2 linked regions of the Nothobranchius furzeri genome follow. The protein of the gene in region 1 binds, or shares a complex with, the protein of each later gene. Links are inferred from orthologs where the notes say so. Each region holds a gene or a part of one and is shown in the gene's direction. Other genes may lie near its edges.

The links.
Region 2: the proteins of mfsd1 (region 1) and glmp are in contact, whole or in part, in a cryo-EM structure (PDB 8R8Q), measured with the Mus musculus proteins. The link is inferred for Nothobranchius furzeri from reciprocal best matches to the Homo sapiens genes MFSD1 and GLMP. Residues at the interface, in NP_080089.1 of Mus musculus: Val288, Glu292, Lys293, Arg295, Phe349, Phe351, Leu411, Asp412, Lys414, Gly415, Tyr416, Leu417, Leu418, Val421, Ile424, Ser428, Leu432, Val435, Leu439; in NP_064387.1 of Mus musculus: Glu250, Asn252, Ser253, Ile254, Asp255, Asp256, Glu257, Pro260, Ala261, Phe263, Gln264, Arg292, Phe364, Leu367, Val368, Ile371, Met372, Ala375, Ala378, Leu381, Met382, Gly385, Phe389.

What each region holds. Positions count from the first base shown.
Region 1 is NC_091753.1:52,076,765-52,084,751, forward strand, and holds the start of mfsd1 (lysosomal dipeptide transporter MFSD1), read left to right. Parts: upstream 1-2,984; 5' UTR 2,985-3,144; coding exon 3,145-3,313; intron 3,314-3,462; coding exon 3,463-3,515; intron 3,516-3,677; coding exon 3,678-3,790; intron 3,791-3,865; coding exon 3,866-3,908; intron 3,909-3,985; coding exon 3,986-4,053; intron 4,054-7,987. UniProt on the Homo sapiens protein: Lysosomal dipeptide uniporter that selectively exports lysine, arginine or histidine-containing dipeptides with a net positive charge from the lysosome lumen into the cytosol.
Region 2 is NC_091759.1:9,420,605-9,428,629, reverse strand, and holds glmp (glycosylated lysosomal membrane protein), read left to right. Parts: upstream 1-3,016; 5' UTR 3,017-3,070; coding exon 3,071-3,172; intron 3,173-3,852; coding exon 3,853-4,017; intron 4,018-5,339; coding exon 5,340-5,438; intron 5,439-5,516; coding exon 5,517-5,681; intron 5,682-5,766; coding exon 5,767-5,985; intron 5,986-6,076; coding exon 6,077-6,345; intron 6,346-6,423; coding exon 6,424-6,598; 3' UTR 6,599-7,224; downstream 7,225-8,025. UniProt on the Homo sapiens protein: Required to protect lysosomal transporter MFSD1 from lysosomal proteolysis and for MFSD1 lysosomal localization.

The sequences.
Region 1 (7,987 bases):
TAGGCCGTGTTGATGTTCATGCTGGTTTCAGCTCTTTGCTTCACCTCATTTACTTTCACTTCCTGGCCCCACCATGATGCCAACAGAAAAAGCAAACTTCTTCTTTTTCTTCTTCTTGTGCTTTTTATTGACAAACAGCGAACTGAAAAAGCTAACCGCTAGCATAACAGCTAACAGCTGTAAAGCAGGTAAAGAGCTCCTCCTATAGAGCACCTACTCACCCCACAAAGATGTTGATTGCAGTGTCTGGTCAGTGGAGGCTGCAGAGTGGTGTCAACTATAAAACTGGTCAGGCTTCTAACTCAACAATCACTGAGATCAATGTTAAAGCTCTAGTTTAAACATTAAAAAACTAGCAATACCTTAAAAAGGCCGTGATTGGGCTCTTTTTTTTTTTTTTTTTTGGCAACCAGAGATGTTTTGGAGGTAGTCCACTTCTGAAACCTCCTCACTTGTTTTGGTGTGTTATTCTAATCTTATCCACATCTGCTTTTACATCATGTAGCCATGTTCCCTTGACTCAGATCAGATGTGTGATAGTGCTTATGAAACCAAAGTTTACCACCCGACAAGGCTGTAGCGTGCAAGTAAAGCACCCTCCTGCTGCCATGTCTGGTTCAAACAGAGAAGAAAAAAAAGTAATTCTGAAATAAATTTGTTTTCTTGAACTGTGCAACAACCAAAAGATGGATGTGAGGACATTCACAAACTATGTCTGCAGGAATAATGTCACCTCCTGCATGATTTATAATAGAGTCGGCATGCGGGGTTGATTAATCTAATAATGAAACATGATATCTCTCCAGCCCACCCGCTGTCGGTCATGACAGAAGCTGATAATTGGCCAGGAAATTAATAAGCTACATTGCGATTGGAGCGGCATCTGCAGCCACTGGAAGGGTCGTTTGTCACCCCCAGATTAAATCCGCAGACAGATGAACCTGTAGCAGTGAATCATGGGGAATTTTAAATGACATTCATGGAACAACAAAACAATTGCCCCTCGGGGGTGATTAAAGTTTTTTTGAATTTGAATTTGAATTTGAATGGAAATTCAACAAACCCTGTAGACAGGCTGGGTGTTTGCTCAGACTCAGGTTGAGGCAAAGCGAGGATGATTTTTCAGGATGAGGGGTTCTTTTAAAGAGCAAGTCACCCCCAAATCAACTTTTTTTTGCTGATAAACTATATAAATGTGTGTCTAATTGTGCTGCAGACATGTGTCGTCAATAATTTGGTACTTCAGTGCATCTTAGTTAAAATTTAAATATTCTGCCTAAAACTGTCAGTGTTGTGCCGTCGTCAGGTAAAAACTCTGCACTGTATTTGAATTTAAATCTGCCACCGCTATTGGCTAAGAGGTATGCTATGATGTAAACAGTACATTATGATGTCACAATGTCGTTGTGAGCCTGTGTGTATATTTGTTAGCGGCTCCGCCGTCTCGGTCTGCTAGGCAACAGCATTTGTTGCATTTTTCAAATATGAAGAGGGAGTGAAGTAAGTTTCTTGTAGGGGGTGACTTGCTCTTTAAGCGACTGTGTGGTAGTTGAGTCAGACAGACGTGTTTAATTATAAGTAAAACCAATCAGGATTATTTCAAATGTTTAAGATCAAGATGCTCCAGAAGGTTGTCATCAGGGCAAAAGCTCCTTCTTTAACTTAGCAGGTAAGTGGTTCAAGCTTCGAATGAATGCAGGTTTAGAAGAATGGGAAATTACACAAAACAAACAAACAAACAAAAATAAATGGACAAAAGCTAAACGTTCTCAGTGTGAGTGGCACAAAAACAGAACTGAAGCTAAGGCTCAGGGTTATTATTTTCACATCTATTAGTTGCTAATTGTTTATAAACGTCATTTAAAAATAAAATCTGGTTTGGAAAGATTGCAATTGATCAATAAACATTATCATGATAAACTGATATTCTGAGATTGCTTTGGAACTACCTCCTTTAGTTGATAGTTGTTTTGTTTTCAGATTATTATTATTAATAGTTTTAATACAAATTATTTTCTACAGAAAAGGAGGTGCAATGATCCACTGTGTCCACTAGGAGGAAGAAGAATGTCCTTTAAAAATACAAAAATCTTCCACAATAATGACTGAACAAGAATGTTTATGAACTGAAACTGAGCATTTGAGGCTTGAGTTAAATTTTTCTTGCAATCTTCAAAAGGTTTTATTGGAAGTAATTCACTACTTATCTGACAGTGTCCACAAGACCTAGGTCCCTGTGTGTAATAATACACTTTTAATTACTGTATACAGTTTCTCACTCTGGAATTTGGCATTTCTGCTGATGTGTTGTGTCACTGGTGACCTGTCCAGGGCCACAGTGTCCCCTGCCTCTCGCCCCCTCTCGACATATCGTATATAAGTCGATGCTCTCGCCTGTTGACTGTTGGCATTGGGCGTCAGTTCTCTGTGACCCTAGAGAAGAAAGGGTAGTTTGGATTCCCAAATGTGGGGTTGGCACCCCCTGTGGGTCTCCAAGAGCTACACAGGTATGATGATTTCCAGGAATCAACATAAAATTGAAAAACACACACTAAAGATATATTTTTTAGCATAAGTATTACAAAAACTTTACCAAAATGTCATAAATAGATATAAATGAATATGAGCTGACGCACCCAGCATAATTTCGCTTTCTAATCACAGATGGTCAGATCAGAGATTATGGAGATTGCTTGACAATTGTCATTCAGTTATCGTCTTCTCAGAAAGCTGCAATAAATGTTTAGTTTTTTTTTTGAAAGACTAAAAACTTCACACAGACTTACAGCATAATAATACATGTTACCATCCCACAGGCATCTTTTCACCATTTTCATCAACAGTTCTAGTTTTCTATAATGCTGTTTTGACAGTAACTTTAATTGTTATCACACTTTACAGATGCAACTGTAATCACCTTAAAAGGAAATGACGCGCTTACTGTGGTAATCTCTCTAATATCAACTTTATTTAGCCAAAAACAACCTTCCAAAAAACGTTGTATTTTGCCTCGCGCGCGCGCCCGATTCACAAGTCTGCGCACGCAAACGTCACGTCACACTGTCACGTGACTGTTCCACTCGCTCATATGACCGATGGATTCTCTCCCCAGCAGCCGCTAACTTTGCCCAAAAAAAGGGGAACATGGCGGATTTCGAGGAGCGGCGGGGCCTGTTGGGAGACGAGGCCGAGGGCTCGTCTACCGGCCGGAAGGCGGACCGAGGACCCGGCCGGCCGCTGGCCGCCATATGCGACCCCAGCCACTTTCTGCACCGAGTCGTTGTTTTGGTTTTCATGTGCTTCCTGGGGTTCGGTGAGAAGCTGTTGTGGAGTTTTTTTTTTTTTAGTTTAAAGTTTTCAAGACTCCCAAATATTTAAAAAAAAAAAACGTTTTTACCCTAAACGCTCCTGTGCTGTATTATTGTTTAGGTTTATCGTTTGGTAACGTTTGTTTCGTTTCAGGAAGCTACTTCTGTTATGACAATCCAGCAGCGCTCCAGACTCAAGTAATCCAGGTAAATGTCACAAACTATTATAATTAATACCAGGCTGAAAAAGCTGACTAGTGGATTTCTGTCAGCCCCGACAACTGATTTAGGGAAACAGCAGCCGTCCAATCAGAAGTGTCAGTCTGTCTCCTGATCATTAACCCGAGTCCTTCCCCCTGACTCCCCCAGGATCTAAACCTGAACACGGCAAAGTTCATGCAGCTTTACGCCTGGTACTCCTGGCCAAATGTGGTCCTCTGCTTCTTTGGGGGTTTTCTGCTCGACAGGGTTTTTGGCATCAGGTAGAGCAACAACAAAGTGTCCTGCTTGTTTTGGCGACACTTTCACCTAAAACTGAATGTTTATTTCTTTTGCAGGCTGGGAACCATCATCTTCTCCCTCTTCGTCTGTGTTGGACAGGTTGGTTTATTCTCTAATCTGTTTTTGAAATACAGATTTATCATAAAAGTATTGACTTTTTCCCAATATCCACATAGGTAATATTTGCAGCTGGAGCTTGGACCAATCACTTCTGGCTGATGGAAGCTGGACGTTTTGTTTTTGGGTAAATTATGGAAAATGAATGGTCCATTTTTAAGCTCACTGAGTTAAGATCATCATATCTGCACATTTACAGCCCTTAGCTAAAAGTTAAGTTAGTCCTTCAATTAGGTGTCTGTCGATTCACCATTTAATCAATGCATTGTGATGGGACAGGCCGGTTCTAAATCGATTTCTAAATAGATGTTTGTCAAAGTCTGAAAAACAACAGCAAAGCCTGGCTGGAAAACTTAAAGTTACACGTGCTGCCATGACACTGGGTGGCGGGCCATTGGAAAAAAACATTACAGCAACAGCGGCGGCTTGTTGCTAAGCTCCAGCCACTGAGCGTGGGAGTCACTTGTCAGGATTAAAGAGAAGTTGTATAGAACTAAAATAAAAACAACAACACTAGTAACCTGCAGCAGCACGTTACATGTTCCCATCATGGTGTTGGATGAAGAGAAGCCGGCGGTTGTTCCTCCTAACCAGCCAACTATCGAAGGATTACCAAAACTTGCCTACAAGTCCAGCTTTTTTCACAAGACTATGGCGGCACTTTGCTGCAATGCTGAGGCCGCATCGGGGAGCCTTTGGTCGTTTATAAGTGGTCGGTCTGTAGCAGTAACGTGGTGAGATCACATGTTCACTAAAGATTACACAATGGTGGTATAAAGTGGGTGTGGGGCCCATGTCTGCACTGTCGTGAACTTCCTTTTAGCTTAAACATTTTTTTATGCCGATTGAAGCAATGCTCCTTAAGGGTTTATTTTTTCCCACTTGCCCTTCACAGTACTCGTGAACTGTGGTGATTTTCAGATGTAGAGGCCAGAAGATCTGCATGTCTCCGTTCTGTCTTGATTCTGTTTACAAAAGTCATTTTCATTACTCAGGTTTATCCTGTAGATTTCATGCAAACGTGTGTGTAGGGTACATGGATATGATAATGGAGTAAAAAGTATGTGGTAACTGGAGTTGATGTGTGCTGAATTAATCTAAAAGTATGAAAAAACTGATGTGAGAAACAAACCTCTACGGTGGAAAAAAAATGCACCATAAATGGTCGTCGTCGTCGTCATCTTCCTCCGCTTATCCGGGTCCGGGTCGCGGGGGCAGCATCCCAACTAGGGAGCTCCAGGCCGTCCTCTCCCCGGCCTTGTCCACCAGCTCCTCCGACAGGACCCCAAGGCGTTCCCGGACCAGATTGGAGATGTAACCTCTCCAACGTGTCCTGGGTCGACCCGGGGGCCTTCTGCCGGCAGGACATGCCCGAAACACCTCCCCGGGGAGGCGTCCAGGAGGCATCCTGACCAGATGCCCAATCCACCTCAACTGGCTCCTTTCGATCCGGAGGAGCAGCGGTTCTACTCCGAGTCCCTCCCGAATGTCCGAGCTCCTCACCCTATATCTAAGGCTGAGCCCGGCCACCCTACGGAGGAAACTCATTTCGGCCGCTTGTATCCGCGATCTCGTTCTTTCGGTCATTACCCAAAGCTCATGACCATAGGTGAGGATTGGGACGTAGATCGACCGGTAAATCGAGAGCCTGGCTTTCTGGCTCAGCTCCCTCTTCCCCACGACAGATCGGCTCAGCGTCCGCATCACTGCAGACGCCGAACCAATCCGCCTGTCGATCTCCCGATCCCTCCTACCCTCACTCGTGAACAAGACCCCGAGATACTTAAACTCCTCCACTTGAGGTAGGACCTCTCCCCCGACCCGGAGGTGGCAAGCCACCCTTTTCCGGTCGAGAACCATGGTCTCAGATTTGGAGGTGCTGATCCTCATCCCAGCCGCTTCACATTCGGCCGCGAACCTACCCAGCAAGAGCTGAAGGTCAGAGCTGGATGAAGCTAGGAGGACCACATCATCCGCAAATGCAGAGACGAGATTCTCCTGCCACCAAACTGGACACACTCCACACCACGGCTGCGTCTAGAAATTCTGTCCATAAAAGTGATGAACAGAACCGGTGACAAAGGGCAGCCCTGGCGGAGTCCAACCCTCACTGGGAACAGGTCCGACTTACTACCGGCTATGCGGACCAAACTCACGCTCCTCTGGTAAAGGGACTGAATGGCCCTTAACAGAAAGCCACCCACCCCATACTCCTGGAGCGTCCCCCACAGGGTGCCCCTGGGGACATGGTCATAAGCCTTCTCCAAATCCACAAAGCACATGTGGATTGGTTGGGCAAACTCCCATGCCCCCTCCATCACCCTTGCAAGGGTATAGAGCTGGTCCACAGTTCCACGGCCAGGACGAAAACCACATTGCTCCTCCTCTATCTGAGATTCAACTATCGATCGGACCCTCCTCTCCAGTACCTTGGAGTAGACCTTTCCAGGGAGGCTGAGGAGTGTGATCCCCCTATAGTTGGAACACACCCTCAGGTCACCCTTCTTAAAGATGGGGACCACCACCCCGGTCTGCCACTCCCTAGGAACTGCCCCCGATGACCACGCAATGTTGTAGAGACGTGTCAACCATGACAGCCCTACAACATCCATAGCCTTGAGATACCCAGGACGAACCTCATCCGCCCCCGGGGCTCCGCCGCTGTGTAGTTGTTTGACTACCTCAGCAACTTCTGCCCCCGAGATCGGACAGTCCATCCCCAGGCCTCCCCGCTCTGGTTCCTCCTCGGAATGCGCATTGGTGGGATTGAGGAGCTCCTCAAAGTATTCCTTCCACCGTCCGACTATAGCCTCAGTTGACGTCAGCAGCTCCCCATCCCCACTGTAAACAGTGTGAGCGAGTTGCTGCCTTCCTCTCCTGAGGCGTCGGACAGTTTGCCAGAACCTCTTTGGAGCCGATCGATAGTCTTTCTCCATGGCCTCACCAAACTCCTCCCACGCCCGAGATTTTGCCTCAAAAACCCCAACACACAGGCAGAGAGTCTCGGGGCTAACAAAAAGCCAACCCCAGCCCTCCGCCTCTCACCCGGAGCAACTCCAGCAAAGTAGAGTGTCCAACCCCTCTCCAGGTCTCGGGTTCCAGAGCCAATGCAATGTGTCGAGGTGAGTCCGACTATATCTAGCCGGTACCGCTCAACCTCTGCCACAAGCTCCGGCTCCTTCCCCGCCAGCGAGGTGACGTTCCATGTCCCAAAAACTAGTTTTCTTGTCCGGGGATTGGACCGCCAAGGCTCCCGCCTTGGTCTGCCACCCGATTCGCATTGCACCGGACCCTTCAAGTTCCTCCTGCGGGTGGTGGGTCCACAGTTGGACGAGCCCATGTATCCGGTTCGGGCTGGGCCCGGCCGGGCCCCATGGGCGAAAGCCCGGCCACCAGGCGCTCGCTCACGGGCCCCAACCCCAGGCCTTGCTCCCGGGTGGGACCCCGGTAACCCTCCGGGCCGGGTACTCCGACTCTTCGTTTTAACCGCCATGAAAGATCCTTCGAACCGTTCTTTGTCTCACCCTTCACCTAAGACCAATTTGTCATGGGAGACCCTACCAGGGGCACTAAGTGCCCCAGACAACATAGCTCCTAGGATCATTAGGGCACTCGAACTCCTCCACCACGATAAGGTGACGGTTCAAGGAGGAGACCATAAATGGTGGTAATTGTAATAATCGCTTGATGTGTGAGGGTAGGAGGGATCAGGAGATCGACAGGCGGATTGGTTCGGCTTCTGCAGTGATGCGGACGCTGGGCCGATCTGTCGTGGGGAAGAGGGAGCTGAGCCAGAAAGCCAGGCTCTCGATTTACCGGTCGATCTATGTCCCAGTCCTCACCTATGGTCATGAGCTTTGGGTAATGACCGAAAGAACGAGATCGCGGATACAAGCGGCCGAAATGAGTTTCCTCCGTAGGGTGGCCGGGCTCAGCCTTAGAGATAGGGTGAGGAGCTCAGACATTCGGGAGGGTCTCGGAGTAGAACCGCTGCTCCTCCGGATCGAAAGGAGCCAGTTGAGGTGGTTTGGGCATCTGGTCAGGATGCCTCCTGGACGTCT
Region 2 (8,025 bases), on another chromosome or scaffold:
ACTGCCACTGCTGCACCCCGCTTAGCTATCCGGTACCTGTCTGCTGCCTCCGGAGACCCACAGACCAGCCACACCCTGTAGGCCTCCTTCTTCAGCCTGACGGCTCCCCGAACCTCTGGTGTCCACCAGCGGGTACGGGGGTTGCCACCACGACTGGCACCGGCCACCTTGCGACCACAGCTAGCAACAGCCGCCTCAACAATCGCAGAATGGAACAAGGCCCATTCAGAGTCAATGTCCCCCACTGCTCTCGGGACGCGGTCAAAGCTCTGCCGGAGGGGGGAGTTGAAGACCGTCTTGACAGGTTCTTCTGCCAGGCGTTCCCAGCAGACCCTCACTATGCGTTTGGGTCTGCCAGGTCTACGTGGCATCTTCCCCTGCCATCTGATCCAACTCACCACCAGGTGGTGATCAGTTGACAGCTCTGCTCTCTTCACTCGGGTGTCCAAAACATACGGCCGCAGGTCCGATGATACGACTACAAAGTCTATCATCGACCTGCAACCTAGGCTGCCCTGGTACCAAGTGTACCGATGGGCATCCTTATGTTCGAACATGGTGTTTGTTATGGCCAAACTGCGGCTTGCACAGAAGTCCAATAACGAAACACCACTCGAGTTCAGATCAGGCTCCCAAGTTCCTCCCAATCACACCCCTCCAGGTCATGCTGTCATTGCCCACGTGAGCATTGAAGTCCCCCAGCAGGACAATGGAGTCCCCTGATGGAGCACTATCTAGCACTCGTCCCAGGGACTCCAAAAAGGGTGGGTACTCTGAACTGATATTTGGCCCATAAGCACAAACAACAGTCAGGACTCGTTCCCCGACCCGAAGGCGCAGGGAGCTACCCTCTCGCCCCCCGGGGTAAACCCCAACACACAGTGGTCATCGGGGGCAGTTCCTGTGGCAGACCGGGGAGGTGGTCCCCATCTTTAAGAAGGGTGACCTGAGGGCGTGTTCCAACTATAGGGGGATCGCACTCCTCAGCCTCCCTGGAAAGGTCTACTCCAAGGTTCTGGAGAGGAAGGCCCGATCGATAGTTGAATCTCAGATTGAGGAGGAGCAATGTGGTTTTCGTCCTGGCCATGGAACTGTGGACCAGCTCTATACCCTTGCAAGGGTGATGGAGGGGGCATGGGAGTTTGCCCACCCAATCCACATGTGTTTTGTGGATTTGGAGAAGGCTTATGACTGTGTCCCCAGGGGCACCCTGTGGGGGACGCTCCAGGAGTATGGGGTGGGTGGCTTTCTGTTAAGGGCCATTCAGTCCCTTTACCAGAGGAGCGTGAGTTTGGTCCGCAGAGCCGGTAGTAAGTCGGACCTGTTCCCGCTGAGGGTTGGACTCCGCCAGGGCTGCCCTTTGTCACCGGTTCTGTTCATTACCTATATGGACAAAATTTCTAGGCACAGCCGTGGTGTGGAGTGTGTCGAGTTTGGTGGCAGGAGAATCTCGTCTCTGCTTTTTGTGGATGATGTAGTCCTTCTAGCTTCATCCAGCTCTGACCTTCAGCTCTTGGTGGGTAGGTTTGCGGCCGAGTGTGAAGCGGCTGGGATGAGGATCAGCACCTCCAAATCTGAGACCATGGTTCTCGACCGGAAAAGGGTGGCTTGCCAACTCCGGGTTGGGAGAGAGGTCCTACCTCAAGTGGAGGACTTTTAAGTATCTTGGGGTCTTGTTCACGAGTGAGGGTAGGAGGAATCGGGAGATCGACAGGCGGATTGGTTCGGCGTCTGCAGTGATGCGGACGCTGAGCCAATCTGTCATGGTGAAGAAGGAGCTGAGCCAGAAAGCCAGGCCCTCGATTTACCGATCGATCTAAGTCCCAATCCTCACCTATGGTAATGAGCTCTGGGTAATGACCGAAAGAACGAGATCGCAGATACAAGCGGCCGAAATGTTTCCTCCGTAGGGTGGTCGGGCTCAGCCTTAGAGATAGGGTGAGGAGCTCGGACATTCGGGAGGGACTCAGAGTAGAAACGCTGCTCCTCCGGATCGAAAGGAGTCAGTTGAGGTGGTTTGGGCATCTGGTCAGGATGCCTCCTGGACGCCTCCCTGGGGAGGTGTTTCGGGCATGTCCTGCCGGCAGGAGGCCCCCGGGTCGACCCAGGACACGTTGGAGAGGTTACATCTCCAATCTGGTCCGGGAATGCCTTGGGGTCCTGCTGGTGGAGGTGGCTGGGGAGAGGACGGTCTGGAGCTCCCTAGTTGGGATGCTCCCCCCGCGACCAGGACCCGTATAAGCGGAGGAAGACGACGATTATATTTTTGTCTCTTTGTTGAAATGGCTTTTGAATCAAAGTCCTCTCAGTTATTGTGATTATTTATGGCCAGAATTTATTTGAAGTGTTCCAGAGTCTAAACAAAAATCCAGATGTGTGCACATGAGAACAGAAAAGTTTTACTGAAGTTAGTTGTTAATCGATTGAGCAGTTAGAAGTTTCTGTGTGATTTTGTTCACATTTAAGATTCCACATTAAAGTGATTTGGCTCAGTTAAACTTTAAACAAATACAAAACATTTAATGTGCCTTATAAAACATTAGGATTCAAGTAAATGGCTATAAAGGTGTGTAAAATACTAAACATTTTCAGTATTAATGGTACAAAATGTAGAAAAAGTTGGTTTGTTTTCAGCACTTATTTTATTTTACCAACTGCCAGATAATGCTGGGTGTTTTGGCATCAATAGAGCTCCGGACCCCACGTGACTCTCAGTTAGTGGACGCCATTTTGGCATGCAAAAAAGGTAAACAAACAAATCCAAACAGTAAATATATTGAATTTCATCACTAAAATAATATAAAACAAATCTATCTGAAGGCTTTTGTTTTGAATTGCTGGTTATAATTAACAGTATTTCATTGGTTCAATGAAGAAGTCAGTCCTGAATAATATATTTATATTTTTAGGGGTTAATGTTCAAAAATCAAGACTTTCTTGGCTTATTGACTAAAATGATGATTAGACGTTTTATTGGCTGTTAAGTCACAAGGGGCGGGGCCTCAGTGTGGTCACCTGACATGAAGGAGGGAGGTCATGTGACCCACTGCACAGCTCGGTCACAACAGAGATGGCGGCCACGGGGAGGTTACTAATTAGTACGATTTTACTTGTTTTTACTTTTCGTTCATGTCTAAGTTTGTTTTACGGAGGAAATACTTACAAAAGAAAGGTAAGGAAATAGAAGTGACAGCAACGTGGTTTAAATTTAGACTTTAAAGGTCGAAAAGTATCGGAGGAAAATACAGGAAGTGATAGTGTTGATTAGAGATATGAAAGTCTTTATTTTTTGTTTATATGCTATATTAATCCGCTTATCCACGTTTCTTAATTCTATTATTTTAATGGTAAAATGCAGCTTGAAGAAAATATTTGAATGAAAAACAAACCCAAACCAGGTCAGTCATCGTTTTGTTTTGTTTCTATTTATTTTTTGGGAAATTTACTTTTTATTGCAATCTTAAGCTTTTCACATGGCCATCTGAAGCTGTTTCTTAACTGACCAGATTTTGGTCTATCATTAATATTAAAAATGACTTTTATTGCTAATAATCAGGTTGATTAATGGCAATATTATTGAAATGTGAAATGTCCATTTTTAAGTCAGTCTTTAATCCTGTTACTGCTCCATGGCTTACCCCTAACCTAAGCAACAAATGTAGCCCTTTGTCTTCAGGAAAAATTCTGTTTGCAGCAGTCATGTGAGTTGTGATAACTGAATCAGTTAAAAATCAATAGTCTTATCAGAAATGTGAATTCTGCGAAAGGACTTTCAGCTGATCAATCAGATAGTAAGCTGTTGCAGATTTTGATCAGTCCTGATTTGCAAATCTTTGTATTTTCGTATTTCAGCTGTTTGTGCAGCTGAACCCAAACTCAAGCTCTCTTCCTCGCGGTGGTGAACTGCTGCATGTGAGAGCTGTAGGACAAAACGACACGCTGCACTACCTGTTCTGCAGTCAAGGGGCACCAACACTGCTGCTCGTCCATACTAACAGTTCTTCTTCCACTGTCAAGGTTTGGCACATCGTCCGATTATGTAAATATAAATAAATATATTAATGTGCAATATACATCTTGTGTAAAACTGAGGAGAAGGTATACGTTGAAGATGGAAAAACTGGTCGTCCCACTATGACTGGTTGCATTATAAGTTTTAAGCCCTACCTCCTCCATATAAATAAATGGGACAATTTCCTGAGTAAAACATTAATGCACCACCAGATAATTGTATTGTTGAGTCACACAGTTGTTGCTGCTTGACTTATCGGCTGCAGTTGACACTGTCAATCATGGCTTCCTTTGCTCCATACTCTCTAGCATGGGTGTCACAGGGAAAGCACACTCCTGATTTGAATCGTACCGCACAGAACGACCATTCTGTATCTTGGTTCGGACAATCTTCTGCTCTTCACCATCTTTCCATAGGAGTTCCCCAGGGCTGTGTACTAGATCATCGAAGGATTGTTGACTAGCAGTGCCTACACCACGCTCAGGACAATCCAGACTCTTTTCATGTGTGTTTCCACAGATGTGGAATGACCTACCAGAACAGGGGCTTCCTTGTCGATTTTCAAGAAACTCCTGAAGACCCAGCTCTTCAGAGAGCATCTTCTAAACTAGCACCCTACCTGCACCGTCCCCCACTCTATTGTCTACTCCCTGTTCACTTCCCTTTATCATTTATTATGCTGCCTCACTGCCACCTACGATTGACTGACTAATGTTTGTTGTTAGCTTCAAGGTCAACGTGCTGGCTTCATTTTCTCTTGTAAGTTGCTTTGGAAAAAAGTGTTTGCTAAATATGTAAACATAGTTATCAGCTTGTTGCTGTATGTTCAGATTAAAATTATTCTAATAAACTTATTTGATCTTTTAAAAAAACTCATCATGATTTGTGTAGGGGAGGGGTAGGCAAGAAAACTCTAGGGCCATTCCCATCTGTACTGGGTCGGCCCGGGCCGGGTAGCCCCAGTCGACCCCAGCCTGGCCCGGTTGATTCCACACATCCTTGTCTTAAGCCCATGTGGGCTGATTCTACCCACCAATCAGAGGCTTGCTCTAATGGAAGGTGTGAGTTTGCTGTCAGCAGTGGGTGTGTTGGCCCTGGTCGGCCTGAAGCAGACCCCCTCGAGAAGAGGGCTGAGAATGAGCCTTGGTTGGCCCGGAAAAATACCAGGCCACCCAGATATGTAAACAACCTACGCTACCCGGCCCGGGCCGACCCAATACAGATGGGAATGGCCCATTAGTCCCAGTCTGGATTAGTATTCATTTTCATTTGATTTTTTGCAGACCAAGTATGATTTCTATCTAAATGTTTGGGTTTTGTGTTTCAGGTAAACTGGTCCCAGTTTTCGAGTCGTAATACCAGCGGCAGCCTAACGGTGGAGCCAGAGAGCAGCATCTTGTACAGCTCTGCTGTCGTCTTCAGTCGGGTCAGAAACATTAGCCAGTCTGTCCAAAGGAAAAACCCTGATGTGTGTTTATTGGATAACCCTGTTGTTGTTTTTTAGCTGTGGGAGTATGATGACGTAAACAACACCGCTGAGGCATCCTCAGACCTTCTCCCTCCGCACGAGCTGCAGGACTTCAGCTGGTCTCTTTTCAACCTGTCTGGTGCAACATCTCTGCTCTGTGGAGCCCCCTCGGACTCCACCAATGGGTCGCTCTGCCTGCAGGTTTGTCGCTATGGTGACAAAAGTCTGATTTTGAATACTAAAGAAAAAGATCATAATAAAATGTTTGACATTTTATCTTTTTCAGTTGTCTGTGTTTGACTCGGAGGGGCGTAACAAGTTATGGCCTCGCCTCCTACATTCTGCTAACTCCTCCCAGGTGGAGGTGTGGCTTAATGGCATATTGCCGAGATCAAATGCCTCCAGGTTTGTGTTGGAACTGCAGGCAGTGAGTGGGACCTATCCGCTAAGCAGAGTGGACACTCGCCAGTCCATCGATGACGAGTACACGCCGTCGATATTCAAGGTGATTATCAACGCCTTCATATGCTTTTGATTTGCCCTCCTCGGATGTCACCATGTCTTATTTGTGTTGTTTTTGTTCTTTCCTCTCTCAGATGTTCCAGTGGGTATCCTCAATAAACGGAAGCTCAGACATTCTGGGTTTTGTCCAGTGGAAGCCTGTGGCGTACAGGAAGTCCCATCCGGTGCTGGAGGACGCCACGCCTTGCCGCCACTCTGACCCAGATTCACAAAACGGAGAGGAAACGGCAGCTTTATCTGCTCTGATTCGAGGCTTCTATTCAAATCCAGAAGTTATGGGAATGAACGTGAGCTTCGGCATGGCAGGAGAACCCTTCTACAACAGCACCATGTTCCTCAGCTGGTTTGTTCACGATCTAATCGGATGTTTAAAATCAGAACAGGTGAATAAAAAAACCTGAGTGTGTTTTTCCTCTTTCAGGACCATGCTGGTGGGCGTTGGCTCTCCTCCCGTTGACTCGTTCTCTCCCCTGGTTCTCGCCATCATGGCGGTGTGTTTGGGGGCTCCTGTGATCCTCCTGCTCCTGGGGGGAGTTTTTGTCTTCCTCTATAAAAGGAGGCACGCTACGGTGACGGCCTACGAGCGAATCAACTGACGGCTGAGACCCAGCCAATGAGATGCAGAGGCTGTTTTTAAAACTGAAACATTTTAGAGTCAGGATGGACGAGGGAAATCAGGACAGGCTTTATCTTGTCTTGTAAATCGTTTTATTTTAAATAACAGATCAATTATTTGAAGTAGAAAGTTTTTCTAAATATCAGCAAGACTGTTAAGAGCGAAATGGTGCACAATCAGGAGCATTTATTATAAAAAAAATTATTCTAGTTGTGTATTTTTGAGAAATTTGTAAAGATTCAATGGATTTTTGATCTTTTCAAACCTGTTTTCCATCATGTTTTGATTCAAACTAAACAGACATCTTGTCCCAGTTTATCTCTAAGGGAAAAACATCATTTGTTGTATATTTAATGTTTTACTCAGCGGCTGCTTGCTTGCTTAACAGACTGGTGGATTTTCAGGGCTGATATTCAGCTGATTAATCCGCATTAAACGAGTCTACGGCAACATCATTTGTACTAAATGACAAATTTATGGAGGTTTTCTGAGCCTTAACAGAAAAATACAATTAATGTCATCCGAGAGGATTTGTCCTGAGTGGGAGGTTACGTTTAGAGGTTCAAACTTGAAATGATTAAAATAAAATAAATTGTATTTTGTAAATTGTTGGTTAAAGCTTTTGTTCAATCTGTGTCAATGTTTTATTTTAAGAAAATGTGCAATGTGTTTTTTTAACTTGGGATAAAAAGAGAAATTTAGAATTTTTTGCTTTTTCTTATGATTAAACTCAAGTTTTTTTTATTGTATCTTTGTTAAACAAGGTGAGCATTGGCTGCAATGCAAGAGTTTTAACTAAAATCATGAGAAAGACATTTTGGTCAAATCACTAGAAAACTTAACATATTACTAAATCTAGCACTCAACAGGTGGACGACTCAGCAAAATGTTTCGCTTCAGTTTATTTTGTCAGAAACTTCACAGAGAAACAAAAATAAACCAAACTATTATTTACAATAAAATCATCGGAACGGCGTCTGCTGATGAAACCTTTTCGATGACAAGAGGAAAAAAATTCACAGCTGAAAGTCAGAAACACTTTGGACAGAGAAGCGGATGATGTCACAGCTGGGTTTCAGATTCTCACTTGTTAAACTGGAGGTTTCTGTCCTGCTTCCATTTAGTTTGGTGCAGCAGCCAATTAGAGATCAGCCAGGAGTGATGTGGACCAACCAGGGAGATTTAAAACATCTTGAGTTGTTTTTGGCTTATTCATAATAAACACTTCCTCCACATTGTCAAACAATCTTTGTGTTTTAACATCAAAATAAATTTAAACTTTGTCCATTAAAGGGAGGAAAAACTTCACTATCATGTACTTCCTACAGAACTGAGGTCCTTTGGGAATGTTCCAGATCAGATTGAGGATATAATCGACATTTTGGCTCCAATAAGTGAACCTGAAGT